3 linked regions of the Drosophila melanogaster genome follow. Changing the gene in region 3 together with the main gene of any one other region gives a genetic interaction. Each region holds a gene or a part of one and is shown on either strand. Other genes may lie near its edges.

What was found.
Region 1: of ex (region 3) and pyd, changing one enhances a phenotype caused by changing the other (phenotypic enhancement), as found in Drosophila melanogaster (one study listed by BioGRID).
Region 2: of ex (region 3) and Schip1, changing one suppresses a phenotype caused by changing the other (phenotypic suppression), as found in Drosophila melanogaster (one study listed by BioGRID).

Annotation. Positions count from the first base shown.
Region 1 is NT_033777.3:8,862,205-8,867,278, forward strand, and holds the start of pyd (polychaetoid), read right to left. Parts: upstream 2,145-5,074; 5' UTR 2,038-2,144; intron 1,330-2,037; exon of another isoform or gene 1,298-1,329; intron 802-1,297; exon of another isoform or gene 790-801; 5' UTR 579-789; coding exon 1-578.
Region 2 is NT_033779.5:10,328,834-10,333,907, forward strand, and holds the start of Schip1 (schwannomin interacting protein 1), read right to left. Parts: upstream 2,284-5,074; 5' UTR 2,247-2,283; intron 1,760-2,246; 5' UTR 1,747-1,759; coding exon 1,159-1,746; intron 1,099-1,158; coding exon 642-1,098; intron 578-641; coding exon 489-577; intron 430-488; coding exon 363-429; intron 303-362; coding exon 1-302. Other genes in the region: Cox10 (cytochrome c oxidase assembly factor 10), read left to right, coding at 2,777-2,848, 2,914-3,097, 3,155-3,841, 3,906-4,138. UniProt on the Drosophila melanogaster protein: Regulator of the Hippo/SWH (Sav/Wts/Hpo) signaling pathway, a signaling pathway that plays a pivotal role in organ size control and tumor suppression by restricting proliferation and promoting apoptosis.
Region 3 is NT_033779.5:428,574-433,647, reverse strand, and holds the start of ex (expanded), read right to left. Parts: upstream 2,422-5,074; 5' UTR 1,531-2,421; intron 1-1,530. UniProt on the Drosophila melanogaster protein: Activates the Hippo/SWH (Sav/Wts/Hpo) signaling pathway, a signaling pathway that plays a pivotal role in organ size control and tumor suppression by restricting proliferation and promoting apoptosis.

The sequences.
Region 1 (5,074 bases), on a different chromosome or scaffold from region 3:
CCGCGTTCCCTTTCCTTTTCGCCACCCCCTCCACCGCCGCCCATGCAGCTGGTTATGCTCCGATTGCCCACACTATTGCTACGCGATCGGGATCTGGTCTTTTGCTTGCCCAGCCAGTAAACCTGATTTGCCAAATTTATTTCGGCGGCTGCCGCAGCCTTTCTTCTGCCCAATTGTTGTTGCTCCTGCACCTGTTGATGCTGCTGCTGCTGTTGTTGCTGCTGCTGCTGTTGTTCACTGGCCAGATATTCGCCGGCTATATGAACCTTGGGTGCACTAACCAACTGCAGGCCAGTGGCGCCGAATTGCTGAGGGAATTCGTGCAACTCGAGGGGGAAACGGGGATCCATGGTCTGACCCGGTTGACGCGGGTACATATAGCCATCGCGTAGAAACATCTTGCTGGTGGTATAGACCCTATCCGCGATTTGGTACACTCCACTCGAGCCGGGACCCTCGGCGCCGCCAATAATTCCATTTCGGACATAGGCTGTCGGGCGATAGCGAACGAGTGGGTTATATACATTCGATTTGGGGGGTTTCGTTTTGAAACTGCGACGTCGCGTGCTGGGCTTCATATTTTTGTTGTATTTAATTTTCGTTTTTGTTCGTTTGTATTTGCACCCCGCGATAACAGAATGTTTGCTCTACAGAAAATCCACCCTTGTGCTGTAGGTTGCTTGCACACGTATCAAATGTTTTCGAGTTTAAGCGTGCTTGGAACAAGCGACCGTGTGGCCTAATGGATAAGGCGTCGGACTTCGGATCCGAAGATTGCAGGTTCGAGTCCTGTCACGGTCGAAACCAAAGTATTATTTTTTTTTTGTGAGAAACTTATGTTTTGTTCTTTAAAAAATTCAATTTGTTGCAAACTAAAACCATAAAATAAATCAACAAAAACAACAAAAATTTTAAGGTTCACTTGGCTAATTTTACATAAAATCTACACTGTCTTTAGACTGACGATAGAATGTTTTATGATTACATGTAAAATTAGATCACGCAAAATTATATTTTTTTCCTTTGGAAATATATAAAAAAAAAAAAAATAAAACCAGATTAGTGTTTCAAGGGTGTTGAGTTAATTTAGAGACTTTTTGTTCTTTTTCAAATGTAATTTTCGACCGCGTAAAAGTATGCTATAGATATGGTTGAATTATTTTTCATGGCGTTCTTGTTTAACAGCGCACAAAAGCAGGCAACATTTGTGTTTTTAAAAACGCCTGAGAGAGGCCAATAAAAAAGAGATAAACCCTATAAACTATATTGAAAATAACCGATTTTTTAAGGGTTTTACGCGACCAACACGTTCGGCACACTGCACGTTCGATTTTCCACTGCAATTGTTTGATTTTATTGCAACAACTTTTTCTGCTTTTCTGTTGTTTGCTGGAAGGCACGCACTGCCAATCCAATTAGCCGGGGTTCACCTTTCGAGCCGTCGTCTTTGCGCAAGGTAAATTGTTTTTCGAACCCAAAGTATTGACACAGTTTGCGAGTCACTTGTTTTGTTAGACACATTCGTCTTCCTGAACTGTCAACCGAGCTGTCATATGGATGAGACAGAATGGAGAATAGAGAGAAAGAGAGCCATGCTAATCTGTCAACTCTGAGTTCGTTAATTAAAGACTGATTTGGCAAATAATTGTGGCTTAGCCCTGATCGACCCCAATACCAATTTACAAGCTCAAAACATTGCAAAAACTCAAAGGTACCCCGATTGGGTCAATGAATGTGCGGTCTATTGAACTTTTGATAGTATTATTGACGCCCCTTTTTCACTTAATGATTGCGAATTGAGTTCAGCCGTCGGAAAATACTTTCAAGGTTATCTTACAGGGATCATAAATATAATATCCAAATTTATAGTTAAAAACTAAGTGGAAAAGATGTGGCCAAATATAAATCCCTCTGTCTAAGTGCACATTTTTCTTGTTTAATATATTCAAATTTTCCCTTTCTTTTATCACTTCTGTCACTCCACTTAATTCAATGGCCCTTCTCAGTTTCAATCTGTCAACTTCCTATTATTTCCACCTTATCTGTTTGAGGTTTGTCTTTCTAACACTTCCGCCTACGAAAATCGTTTATTTTTGGTGTGGATTTCTTTTCGTTTCAATCGCGACGAGGCTCAAATACGAACTAAACTGAAATGAATTCAATGAATTTGAAGAGCCTATCGGACACGAGAACATTTTCCAATGGATAGCGTTTCCAGCCGGAGAAGAATACAAGAACAAAAGTGATTGCGATAAAGCTTGGACTGAGCTGAGCAGAGCCCAAGTGAAATGAGACGAAATGAGGGGCTTAAGCCAAACAAATACACCCCTTAAAAGCGTAAATTGTGAAATGGGGCAGATGTTTGGGGGAAAAAACCAAGAATGAAAAGGTTTGAACGATGAACCTCGAGCTATTTTAAAACCACACCCAAATATTTAATACATATCAATCAAGTTCTATGATGTTATGACAAAAAATGGTTTGAGAAACTCTATTTTGTTTTAAGAGGCTCCAAAAGATTTTTATGTTTCTAATTCCATGGAAATACGTATATTTTCTTTGCATAAATCATTGTACTTACAAAGAATTCATCTTCGATGACGGGATCGGCCAGCATCTCAATGGCCTCCGTCATGGATCTGCAGGTGCGATTCGTGTTCTTCTTCTTCTTGAGCTTCCGGCCCAAGGTGGCGGCATCGCTGAAGCGATGAAGCAGTTTGTCCCTCTTCCGGACCGCCAGCGGACTGGTCGTCGAACTGGCGTGACATAACAGCGATCCGTAGCCATTCGTAGAGGATATGGTGCCAGTATTAGCGTAGAAATTCTGCGGTTGATATTGCGCCGGAGCAGTGAGTGTGCTGTTCGAGTCGATTTTCTGTATGAGATTGTACTCGGATTGGGGATATTTGCTGGCCAAATGCGATACAGAATCCGCTTTGGAACCCAATTGCGGCTTGGGTGGCGGCGGTGGCGGTGGATCCTTCATCAAGGCCACCCGACGGGGGGCGGCGCGGGGTATGGTGGCCGAATGGGGGGAGGAGGTGGCGTCACCGCCATAACTAACAGCGCGACGATTGCGATCGTTTTCCTTTTCCCTGAAAGGAAATTTAAATTTAATTTATTAGAATTTTCAATGTATGTTTTACTTGATAATAATAGAACTAAATATGTTTTAAGTACTAAACACAATGTAAATCTACCTATAACGCCTCCTCTGCATCGGTGGACTAAAGAAGAAGTTGGGCGACAGGGGTACAAAGTAACCCCATTGGGGATCTCGATTCGGTCCCTCATGATACATGCCCAACTGGGGCGTCATCTCCCTGGATCGACTGGATCTGAGAATGGGCATGGAAACCCTCTGTGGTCCGAAACTTCTATTAGAGCGATACCGATTCCTATACATATGACGCTCCAGTGAAGATGTGGTGGTCGTAGCATCCGATTCCAGGGTGCAATCCGAATGATCCTTGTTCTCCAGGGTCACATTACTGCCCAGCTCATCGTCATTATCATCATCATCATCCGTGGAACACTCGGGCACCGTATAGCAGGCATAGTCGAATTGCGACATTGTAGAATCGTTTTTCTTATGTCTTTATTTGTTTGGCTTTTCGTTTGCACACACATTTAGTTCTTTGTCATTGTGTCTTTGCGACTCCCACGTAAAATGTTTCAATTATTTAATTAGTCTGCAACTTGTTGCTGTTTTTTATTTGAGTGCTTTACTTTTATTTTTACCTGACAAATGTTAAATGACATTTTCAGTTGGTCTGGCACTTAATTGCTCCACTAGAGTTTGGTCATGTCTTGGATATTTTCTGGTGGCAAAAGAACATTATTTAAGGCATTTATCATGTTCACCCTCTGGACAATTGTGCTTCCCGCCAGAAAAAAATTTCAGGGGTTGTGTATGTCCAGTGGGCACAATTAAAAGTCGTTTTCGGCCTCTGTTGAAAAGTTCGCCTAATGAGGTGTTGAACGGAAGACGTTCTAGTTATGATACTTAACTTGGCCACGACTTTTTACAGACAATTTACTACGGTCCGAAACACAAAAGAAATCAGTGGGAAAGCTAAAAGGGCATTTAACCGAAAGTATTTCATAATTGTTAAGTAAAATGTTCTTTTAGGAATCTTATTGTTAATTTACTATATCTGTATGTATGCACGAAAGGCAAATTTAACTTTGCGGCCTGGCTAGCTAGTAAATTTGCAGACTAAACGTTCATTATTCATTAATGGGGTGAAAAAGGAAAGTGTCAACAGTGAAATCCATCAACATTGCAATTAAAATGTCAAACAAGGAAGTGACTGAGTGGCAGACTCCCGTTTAACCCGCACTTCCTATATACCAAACCAACCCCCCACTAAAAAACGAACTCCACATTATACAGAAACTCTCTATAAAGAGGCTCCATCCATCCATAATGATGATGCAAAAAGTGATCCCCGAGGGGAAAATGTGTAACTGGAGAGTCCAATTGCAGAATTCACAGACAACGACACTCCGGATATGAAGATTACAACGGATTTGGGTTGCCACTCCCGCTGTTGTTTATATTTATTTTATTGTTGCAATTATTTTCCTCTTTACAGCATAGAATTGCATATTAAACGTGATTAATGACAAACGAGAGAAATGGGGGAAAACAGCCGGATGGATAGGCGCGTAGTATAAAATGATGTATAATTTTTGATTGCGCAAAGGAAAATTAGCATATGAGGCGCCTGTGTTTATGGAAATGGTGAAATCAGTCAGAAAAAGGGGAGCAAATCATTTGCATGGCTGGTCGCCAATTCTAAAAAATGTTTCAAATTATTTATAGATAATTGTTGAAAGCAATTATCCTTATTATTTCATTTTTTATTATTTATATTTATTTCTGTTACTTTTTATTTCAATATTTAAATATTTTTCATTGCTTATTTGTTTATGGCGAGTCCATTGTCCACACTGCTCACTGATTTGCTCGCGTAAATCATTCTAAAAATACTTTGATTGGGTCAGCGAATTTCCCAGTAATTTTCAAAACATATCCCAATTTTTCTGTACTATATCATTTACAATTGTT
Region 2 (5,074 bases), 9.9 Mb from region 3:
TTGAGCTAGTGCTATTCTAACCTCTATTTGAAGTTTTGATTGATTCGCAAAGAAAAACAAGTTTTCATCCGACGGATAATCTGTTGTACCAATGGGATTGCCATTCATATGATTCATGCTTTTATCTTGGTTGATTTGGTTCTTTTGAAAGATTTTATCGTTTTCAAATTCCTTATTGCGTTTCGTTTCACAGAATTCAGATTGCTTGCGAAGTACTCCACTTGATAGTTTTGGACACGTCTCAGAGTCGGAGCTATAACTTTCATTATCGGATCCGGTTAGAAATTCCTCCTTCTTAATGTCTAAATATAAAATATAATATTTAAGAAAATATAGTAATGAAAGAATATCTTTGGTCTTACCATTATTTAAAGAATCTTTATCTCCGATTGCCAATCTCTTGCGTATCTCATCTCGATTGAATCGCCGCTGTAATTGGAATATATATTTAATAAATGATATTATTATTCCGATTATATTGTACCTACCTTTTTCTCTATCTGTTTAACCTTTTTATAATGGTTTTGCAATGTTTCTACATCCATATCGTTTGCAATCTTGTACGCATCAAATTGTTCTATAAAAATTTAAATATTAATATACTCAAGAATCTATAACGATTAATTCATATTTGAAATTACCTAAAACCATGGTGGAGCATGGATCTTTGGAGTACTTGATGGGATCTTCCAAGTACTGAGACCAGCGCGATTGATTTGAGTACTTCCGACTAGCCACCTTGTTATTGTCCTCGTCCAGATTCTGCTGGCTTCCACTTCCACCGATTTCCAAGCTGCTCATGTTGGGTATTTCAGCCTGATTTAGGTTCGGACTATCGTTTTTGTTCTTTTCCGGAACGGACGAGTATTGGTCAGCATCACAAATGATATATTTTCGTTGGCTATACGTTTTGTAGTCGAACGTGTCCGGTGGCAATTGACGTTCGTCATGAGACGGCTTTGGATGCTTCGTTTTCACGATCTGATGTCCGTACGGTGTGTTCTTCTTTTTATTTTTTCGAGTACTATTCCCGGACAATCGCGTCGAGGATGTTTGCTTAAGAGCCTCCGTTCCATTTGATAGTTCTGCATCGCAAATCTGCAAGGTACAATTATGCTTTTACGTGCCTGATCTCTTTTATTTTAACTAACTACATACCTTATCTAAATTTGATCCCTTCAACTCATCCGCTTCCTTCTTGTTTTTATATCCAGTGAGAAGTAGCTCGAATTCACGTTCCACTTCTCCGCCAAAATCACCAACAATATCGATAGGACTTTGGCCTTGCAACTGCCCTTCGTATTTCGAATTAATTGTACATGACCAGGATGGAAACTCAGGATTGGTCGTATAATTCTGGCTTAGATTGTAGATAAGGTCAGGTTTTTGCAAAGCTCGCTTGGAGTTTTCCGACGTTGCACTATAGTTTTCATTTACAATATCCGGAATGTTTTCCGATCGGTTCACGCTTTCCTCTTCTGATATATATGTGTTTCCATTGTCGCAGTTACTTAAAATCGAATCTTGGCCATTCTTAAAGGTTTCCGAGCCCGATTCCTTGGCCATCTTACTTGGGAACGTTGGGTCATCTTCTCTATCGCTGTCGGTTAGATCGCTTTCATTGCACTCCATGTCGGAGTACTCTATGTAGTCATCGGAAAGGGTATGCGCGAACTTTTGAAATCCTGGGTAGTTGGGGTTGGTGATGCCCTTTGTTATATAGATATCCATTCTTGGCATGGGCATTGGAATAAGTTGTCTAGAAGAAATAAAAAAGTTTAGATGACTTAAATATTGATTACAACTACAGTGTATTAATAACATAACATAATTAAAACATAGTAAAAGCAATAAAATGGTTTTTTTCTTATTTCCTTTTACTTGCTAAAGGACACCACTATCTCCACTCCACTATTTTCTTTAGTTCAACTCATTATCGTATTTATAAATTACTTTAAGAGTCAATTTGGTATTTAACTTCATATGTGTTTAGATGTTACATTGTCCTTAACAACACATGAATGAACTGACATTTTGTATATTCTTAAAATCGAGAAACAAGAATCAAGCCGAAAAAAGTTGGTGTAGGTGCAAATTTTTGTAACAGAAATATCTGAAGATAGTCAAAGTTACTTGCAATTATAATTTCTTGTATTTGCTTTATTTAAACGATTGTTTCGACTGTTAACAACTAAAATGTATTCCGTTTGTTTAAAATGTTAATTATTGAATCAATGAAGACTTACAAGGACTTCGGCCTTCCTGCATTCAGATGTAAAAATTACTCCCACACATATAAAGCAAATTACACGTTTGACGCATGCGCAAATCTTGGTATATAGTGTTGTTAACAATACTAAATATTATTACAAATAATTTAATTTACTAAGGAACAAAAAATTTATTAATTATTTATTATTTTTTTATATGCAAAAACTGAGAAAACAACTTAAAAATCGAAACTGAAAATGTCTCTGAGTTTTACCATGGCACAAAATTTTCTTTTAATGTAAACTTATATTATTATTATTTAAGGAATAGGCTTAAAACTTTTTGCTATGTTTTTTTCAAAGTTCTTAAAAAATCCCAATCCCAACAATTTATGAATACCTCTGATTAAATTTTTTGCACTCAGTATTTTTCTCATTTTGAGATATGGTAACACTTAAGCACAATGTGATTTAAAAAACCATAACATTGTATATAAAAGTAATAGAAATCCAAACACAACTAGAAAAATGAAATAACCGTAGACCTAACTAATAAGTGAATAATAATGATATTATTCAAAGGAATTCGGCGGGTGCAATCCCAGCTAAGAACGCCGGTTGATTTGGTGCTCATTCGGGTGAGGTTCTTGGCCATTACGCAACAAACCACTATAACAAACTATAACTTTCCAATAATTTTCAGTACTCCACTGCAGCAACGATAGCTTCCCAAGATGACAAAGGTGTCACTACAGCGTCGCCAGTATCCCAGGCGGGAAAGGTCCAGCATTTACCCGATAGTCAAATTACCTGGATGCCTAGTCCGTACACCATGCCCGGAAAAACTCTTAGCCAGTACAAGAAGCTATCCAAGTTCCGGCTGACATGTAAGCGAGATGGTTAAACATTGGCCAAGCATCGACCATAGTTGTCTTTCGTTGCAGCGCTGGTGGTCATTACAACGATGGGCGGCTATGCCATGGCGCCAGCTGCTTTCGATCCCACAACGTTTGCGATGTGCACCCTGGGCACAGGACTCGTTTCGGCTGCGGCGAATGCCATTAATCAGTATCACGAAGTTCCTTTCGATTCGCAGATGTCGAGGACAAAGAACCGGGTGCTCGTCACGGGGCAAATGACACCACTGCATGCAGTTACCTTCGCCGCGGTGTCGGCAACTGCCGGCTTAAGTATGCTGTATTTCGGAGTAAATGGATTGACGGCGGCGCTGGGAGCGGGTAACCTGTTCCTCTACACCACGATATACACACCGATGAAGCGTATCAGCATAGTCAATACCTGGGTGGGATCGATAGTGGGCGCCATTCCTCCGCTGATGGGATGGGCTGGTTGTGCAGCCACCCTGGACGCCGGCGCCATGATCCTAGCCGGAGTGCTGTACGCGTGGCAGTTCCCGCACTTCAACGCTCTGTCGTGGAACCTCCGGCCGGATTATTCACGTGCCGGCTACCGAATGATGGCCGTTACCAATCCGGGTCTTTGTCGCCGCACTGCGCTGCGATATTCGGTGGCTATTGTCGGACTTTCAGCCATGGCACCCGTACTGGACGTCACGAACTACTGGTTTGCCTTGGAAACACTACCTCTGAACGCGTACTTCGCCTACCTTGGTAAATATACTCATTAACCATGGAATCCTATATGTTATGTCTAATACGTTCTGTTTGCTTGCAGCGTACAAGTTTCATGAAAAGTCAGATAGTGGGAGCTCGCGGAAGCTGTTCCGATTTTCACTGATACACCTGCCCGCCCTGATGCTGCTATTTCTGACCAATAAGAAGGAATGGTATTTCAGCAAACCCGCCGGTGAGGAGAACAAAAAGGAGTCCACGTACAGTGCGATAAAGCATTCTGCTAGCAGTCTTGGTAATGTCCTGCCCGTCGCCGTAGCCGAAGGACCCAGATAGAAATATTAACATTAATTTGATAAAATGTTAAGTATCGTGTGAAATTTAAATATACTTAGTGTTCTGCAACTTGTAAAAACAGTCATTTAATATTAAGGAAACACGTACCCCTGTGCGGCAAATATATGTTGCGCCTAATAAATGACACGACATCCTTGAAAAATATGCGGTGTAACCAATCCGGCGCTGAATACAAATAAATTTAAAATATACAATTTGGCATGGAATCTTAAGCCGTACAGTAATTTAAATTGCAAGATTCTAAGTATGACCTTATTATATTGTTCTTTGAGCACTTGTTTCAAAAAAAGCACGGAAACGGTAAAAATTGTTAGTGGAAGTAATCCCGTTTCCCGTTGTTTCATCGGTTGTTGAAAATAAGGAATTTAAATCTATTTTATTTTGATAAATTGTAGCAATCGAATCGAACGTATTATTTAAGGCATTGTAAGGCATCTCTTCTTCAGATTCCAGAGTTTATTCCTTTGGAGGGTTTTTTTTCCAAGATTAAAAAACGACATGCGCATTTCCTAGGGATAAGTATTCTAGCTATTTTAGGAACTATATTCCGCAATTGAAATAATTTTAATAATAATAGTAAAATCCGTCAGATAAATAGTCAAAAATTTCTAGCTAAAAATGAGTATAGCTGTACGTTATCGATAACAGAAATACCAAAAAGTTGCCCCTATTTCAGTATATTTCACTGGTTCCTCTGCTGTATGCGTTGGTCTTACAAATGAAAAGAACAATATTTTGTATTGTGTTGCAATAGCCTTGATGTTTTATCACAGAAGCACATTAGCATAATCACTGATTTATCGCGATGCCGAGATGAATCATGCAGCTAACGCGACTATCGCTGGAGCCCTCGTTTGGTAATTTGAACGGGAAACTAGATCAAATGAGCGAAAAATCTGTGGCGAACCACTGGAG
Region 3 (5,074 bases):
AAGAAGCCGCAACGTGTGCCGCATGCCAAATCGGAGGCGTGCGAAACTATGCTGCCATAATACCGTAGAAAAATTAGCAGTCCATACAGGGTATCTTGGGTTAAATGAATGCGCTATAATACGAGTAACCAATAATTCTAAAGTTTAAGGTATTTTGATTATGGCTAGAATAATTCTTTGACCAATTCTAAGTAAAGAGGCTTTTAAGTTTTTGCCTATCTGGCAATATGTTGTTGAAACAATATTTTTTTACGAGCATAGAGATAAGTACATTTTTTTAATCCTCGAAGGTCGTTCATTAGTGTATCCTCTATATCTCTGAGCCAGCCTCGACTCCGATTGTCATTCGAAATTTGTTTAATTTGTTGTACATTTTAATTGCCTGAATTGTTCGAGGCAATGAGCAACCAGAGTTTTCAATGTTCGCACACGCATATCAACTGCGTGCAGGAATTTCAGTTTACGAAATTAATATTTTGAGTTTGTATGATCATTGCTGTTGCTGTTGTCAGCTTCAATGCAAAAGCCCATTGCCTGAGGTCAAGTGTGATGTGGAGATCAAGAGATACGCACGGAGATGGAGATGTAGACGTCAGTGCTCAATCGAAAAAACCACAAGCGAACTAAAACTACGATCCGGGGAATACATGTGTACTTGCCGAGATATAGATACGTCTGTCCGCAGATACAGTTACCCATATGTATATGATTGCCTGGTGGCAAAATCGTTTAACGATTAGCGTTTAACCGCTTAAAGCTTATCGACTGATACCCAAAGCGTGTGTTTTCACCCGTTTGTTTATCTTTCGCTGATTTACATTCAAGATGTCTGATTGCCAAGCGGTTTCTGATTTCAGCAATTGTTCCAGGGATCCCGATGGACGGTTGAAATTCCAAACCCGGGAATAACAATAGAACTCTGTGGAGCTTCCATTTTCACTTAATTGCATCGCCGTCGATCGTTCTGACAACCGTTTAAGTCGCCTATTAGCCATAGAACCTATCAAATTGACTAGCTCACTTGGAAATTGGATCCCGAGATAAGTGAAACCCTGTGCAAAGATACTTTAGGGCCGCATAGAAAATGTCAAAAAAAATTAATTAAATGTGACCGGTATTTAAAAAGTCGGTCAGGCCTACTATATAACTACATATGTATGCACATGTGAATGTACATATATATTTGACACAATAGTACTCTAAACAGCTTCCCCATTTCAATATACCCTCCGTAGAGTGTCAAGTTTGACTGACATTTGATATTCCATGGCCCGAAATGGGTTAATTGCACAATTCGCTGAATTTTTGACTCTTAGCGGGACGCAAAAAAAAAAATTTAAAGAAAAAAGCTGGCGACAACAACGAAATGTTAAACAATCGTTGGACGTTGGCGATTTTATGGTTGACAGATAAGAAATTTGCTGGCATTTGTTTTGTTTGCCGTTTTCAGGGAGTCATTAAAATTCCGGGGAAATGGCCCCATATGGGTACACCACTCTATATCTGCACGTGTATCTGTCCTTTTCTTACCTTAAGCCGCTGCAGAAGTCGGCATTGTTAATGCTGTATCTGTATCTGCTTCTGTTTCGGTTTCGCGTAATCCACAATAACTGGCTTTTTAATTTTGGTTTGGTAGTTTTGTTTAACTAAAGCTCACTCTTCGTGCACTCTTAAAACCGATCTATTGATTTGGCTATCGATAAGTGCCTAACAGTAAAATTTTCGTTTCGTTGTTGTTACTTTCTGACCTCTTCCACTTCCACGACGCGCGCTGCGACTGCGCAGTCAACAGCGATCGGGTCGCATTCCAGCGTCGCACATACTTTAATCAAAACTCACTAACACCAGAACAATTGCACACGCGGGCGAGCGCAACTGAGAGTATCTGTGTGCGTGGAGTCGTTGTTGTTGCGCGAAAGAATGCCGTTTGCTGGGTTGTTGTTTTTGCTGTTGCTGACTGCTTTATTTGTTGTAGTTGTAGTTTCCAGTGGGCAGTTGTTGTTGCGGCTGAATTTTTTCTTTTTGACCAGCACCAACTTTTCGGAGTTGACTTCAGCTTTTTTACACTACTAGTCGTAGATATTTTCGTGGTTTTAAGGCGCGTTTTCCCAAAATCAGAACTAGTTGCACCAACACCAACAAAAATCACTTTTGTAATTGAGGCGAGTGCGAAAACGAAGCGCGCTGTTTTTGTTTCAGTGAAAACCGAACTTCACTTTAAGCAACTGAATCTGTGTAGCTCTGTGTGTGTCTGGGCGATCTGGTGTGCGTGCGGTGTGCATTTAAGATCTGAAGAACAACTTTTCCGAATGTTAGGTCTCGAATAAATTCATTAAACCGAATTTATATTTCCCAGTGGAAAGCACATGCTTTGCTGTCCCGACGATCTGTTCGGTTACCGTTGACGTTTAGCGATATACTGATTTTGCCCCTGCTCAGCGAAACCGAACACAACGAAGATCGAGTCGAGATTTCGTTAAAACTTAACGAAGCCGCGTTTAACGAAAAGAGAGCCCAAGAGAGAATTCGAATTCGAAAGAAGCGCACACAGCGATACACAAACCCGATGGCAACAACAACAACGGCTACGAAAATGTAAATAGCAATAAGCAATAAAAGAAAAACAAACTTCAAAGGAGAATCCCAGTAGCCAACTACATAGTGTGTGCGTCCGTGTGAGTAGTGGAATTCCAATGGCTTATCTCGCGAGACGACGATTCCGATTCTCAAGGGCTTAAAGGATACCCTGTTAGGATAGCAGATTTAAGTAAAATGCATATGAGAATTTTAACAAAGGTACCTTTCTTTCTAATTCTGCTTTTTATCACATGCTATCTTGTAGTTTACATTGTATATTACAATTACATTATGAGTTCTATCTTTTGGCATTCACTTTTTGCCAAACTATGGCGGAAGCCTATTGGATTCAAATCTAGCTTTCAGTATCCCTGCGCTAGCCATCGATGCGACTATCTTATAAATAAACTCTCTGGGCAAAACTCCAGATACAGATGCACTGGACGAGGGAGAATCGGAATCGGAACTTGAGGGTCTGAAGACTCTGCCTCTATCGGCGTCCTCTGCTGCTACGATATCGTCACTTGGGCGCATTCCTCAGCATAATGTGAGCTTGATTTGCTGGATTCTTTTTGCTCCCTCTTCCCTCTTTTTCTCTTCTTTAGATTTCCTCCTTTTCATTTCCCCTCCTCCACCTCTTCAACCATCATTTGCTTCAAATATGCGGCATACACACGCCCCACGAAAGGGCGGGGATCAGTGTAAGCCAAGTAAGGTTTTAACCAGTTCGTCCAAGGGGCTACTTAGAAAAATCCACAGAAAACAAAATTTAGATTATATGGAAAAAAGTCTAAATGATATAAAAATCGTAACTAAACACAACCAAAAGACTATATAATGATGATCGAAGTTGTGCCCCGGTGCCAAACCCTCGCTACGCCCCTGAAGACCCGGCCAAAAGTCGAAGACTCAGAATTGGAGAGTCAAGGGGTCGGGGTCGGGTCGTCTTGCCATGGACATAACTTGTTGACTGAAGTCAGGGAAGTGGTGGGGCAGGGGTAGAAATTGGGCGAGACATTCCGGTGAGGCGGGGTTTCGATGGGAACAACTCGCACAGCCTTTGATTTCTTTGAGTGTACTTTGCGTTGTGGTGTCTGCTATACCCTGTTTGGGATACAACGGGAAGAATTAAAAAAGGTTTGTAGGTTTCAAAAAAAGTACATGCCACTCCTGGGACAAATTTTGAAAATTTCTCTATTGACAAGCCTATGGTGTAAGGGAATTTGAGTAAAGGTAGTTTGTTACCCACCGGATCAGTCTGACTACAAGAGATCTAGAGTACTTCCATCTTCGACTTGAAGCCCAAGCTTTTCATTCTTGTTTTTTTTTTTTGTTTTGTGGCTGTTCGTTATTCTTTCGTCTTTGGTCGATCGCTTGGTCGCTGGTTCTCTAAGACCGGTTGTTGTTGTTGCTGTAAGCAGCCTTTTGGGAACTACGTTCTTGGTCAATATCGTGTAGATATACATACGTTCTATATCTGTGCTTGTGTGTGTGCGAGGTTTGGAGCCTGGTCGAGGCCGAAGTTTTGAGCGAGGAGAGTGAAAAAATAAAAAAAGAACGGCCAAAAATGTTTTATGCAATTCCTTGAAGTCGATTTCAGTCTCCAGTCTCCCGGTCCAGAGAATCGCTTTTGCGGAATTGGCGCGCATTTCTGGCCTTTTTTTTTGGCAAAGTGATCTTTCAGCCAAGAGCAGCTGCCATTGATCCTCTTTCTATTCAAAATTCCTCGTGCTCTTTGCGGTCTTGGGCAGAGCCAAAGTCGCTGGCGATGATGATATGGCGAGGAGGCCAGGAATTTATTGAATAAGTTGGCATATGACGCGGGTACCAACCCACTGATGTGGATGTGGTGTGTGTTGCTGTTTCTGGCGTGTTTTCGCTACGCTTCACTGCCAGGCGATGGAACGTCGATATCGCCGATTGTCGCATACCCCTATCCCTTCTGTTAAAAGCCCTCTCCCTGTCATAGTCTGGATGAGTAAAATCTTATTGGCATAGCAATGGACCAGGCTTATTTGTTGGCCATAAAAATTTATAAATTACTGAGCAATCTTGAAAATGTTCTACCCTCTTCAAGCACTTTTAAAGCGAATGCAAGCCCCACTCAACACCCAACATTGAACACCTTATCACTCGCGATCGAGAGTATCGTAAGCTTCGATGAGTTGACGATTAGGTTTCCGCTTCGATTCGCTGTTCGATTCGATTCGCTTTGTTTTCAATTCTTTTTATTATGGTCAAATATTTCTGCTGGCCACGATAATGTTAATGGGCCGCCCCCCTTTCTCCACTTCGTGCTCAGACCATCATCGAAGAATGTATCCCAGGTATTTTTATTACATTTGTTACACTAACTCACTTCCTATTCGAATAGCTGGTATTTCGCTGTAGCTCTCTTTTTCTATCGACGAATTTAAATAAGTTTTTAGGGTGAGGAGTTGCAAAAGGGGAGGGGGGACATAAGGCGGGGTCACCTGAATGGGAGAGCAAGAGTGTC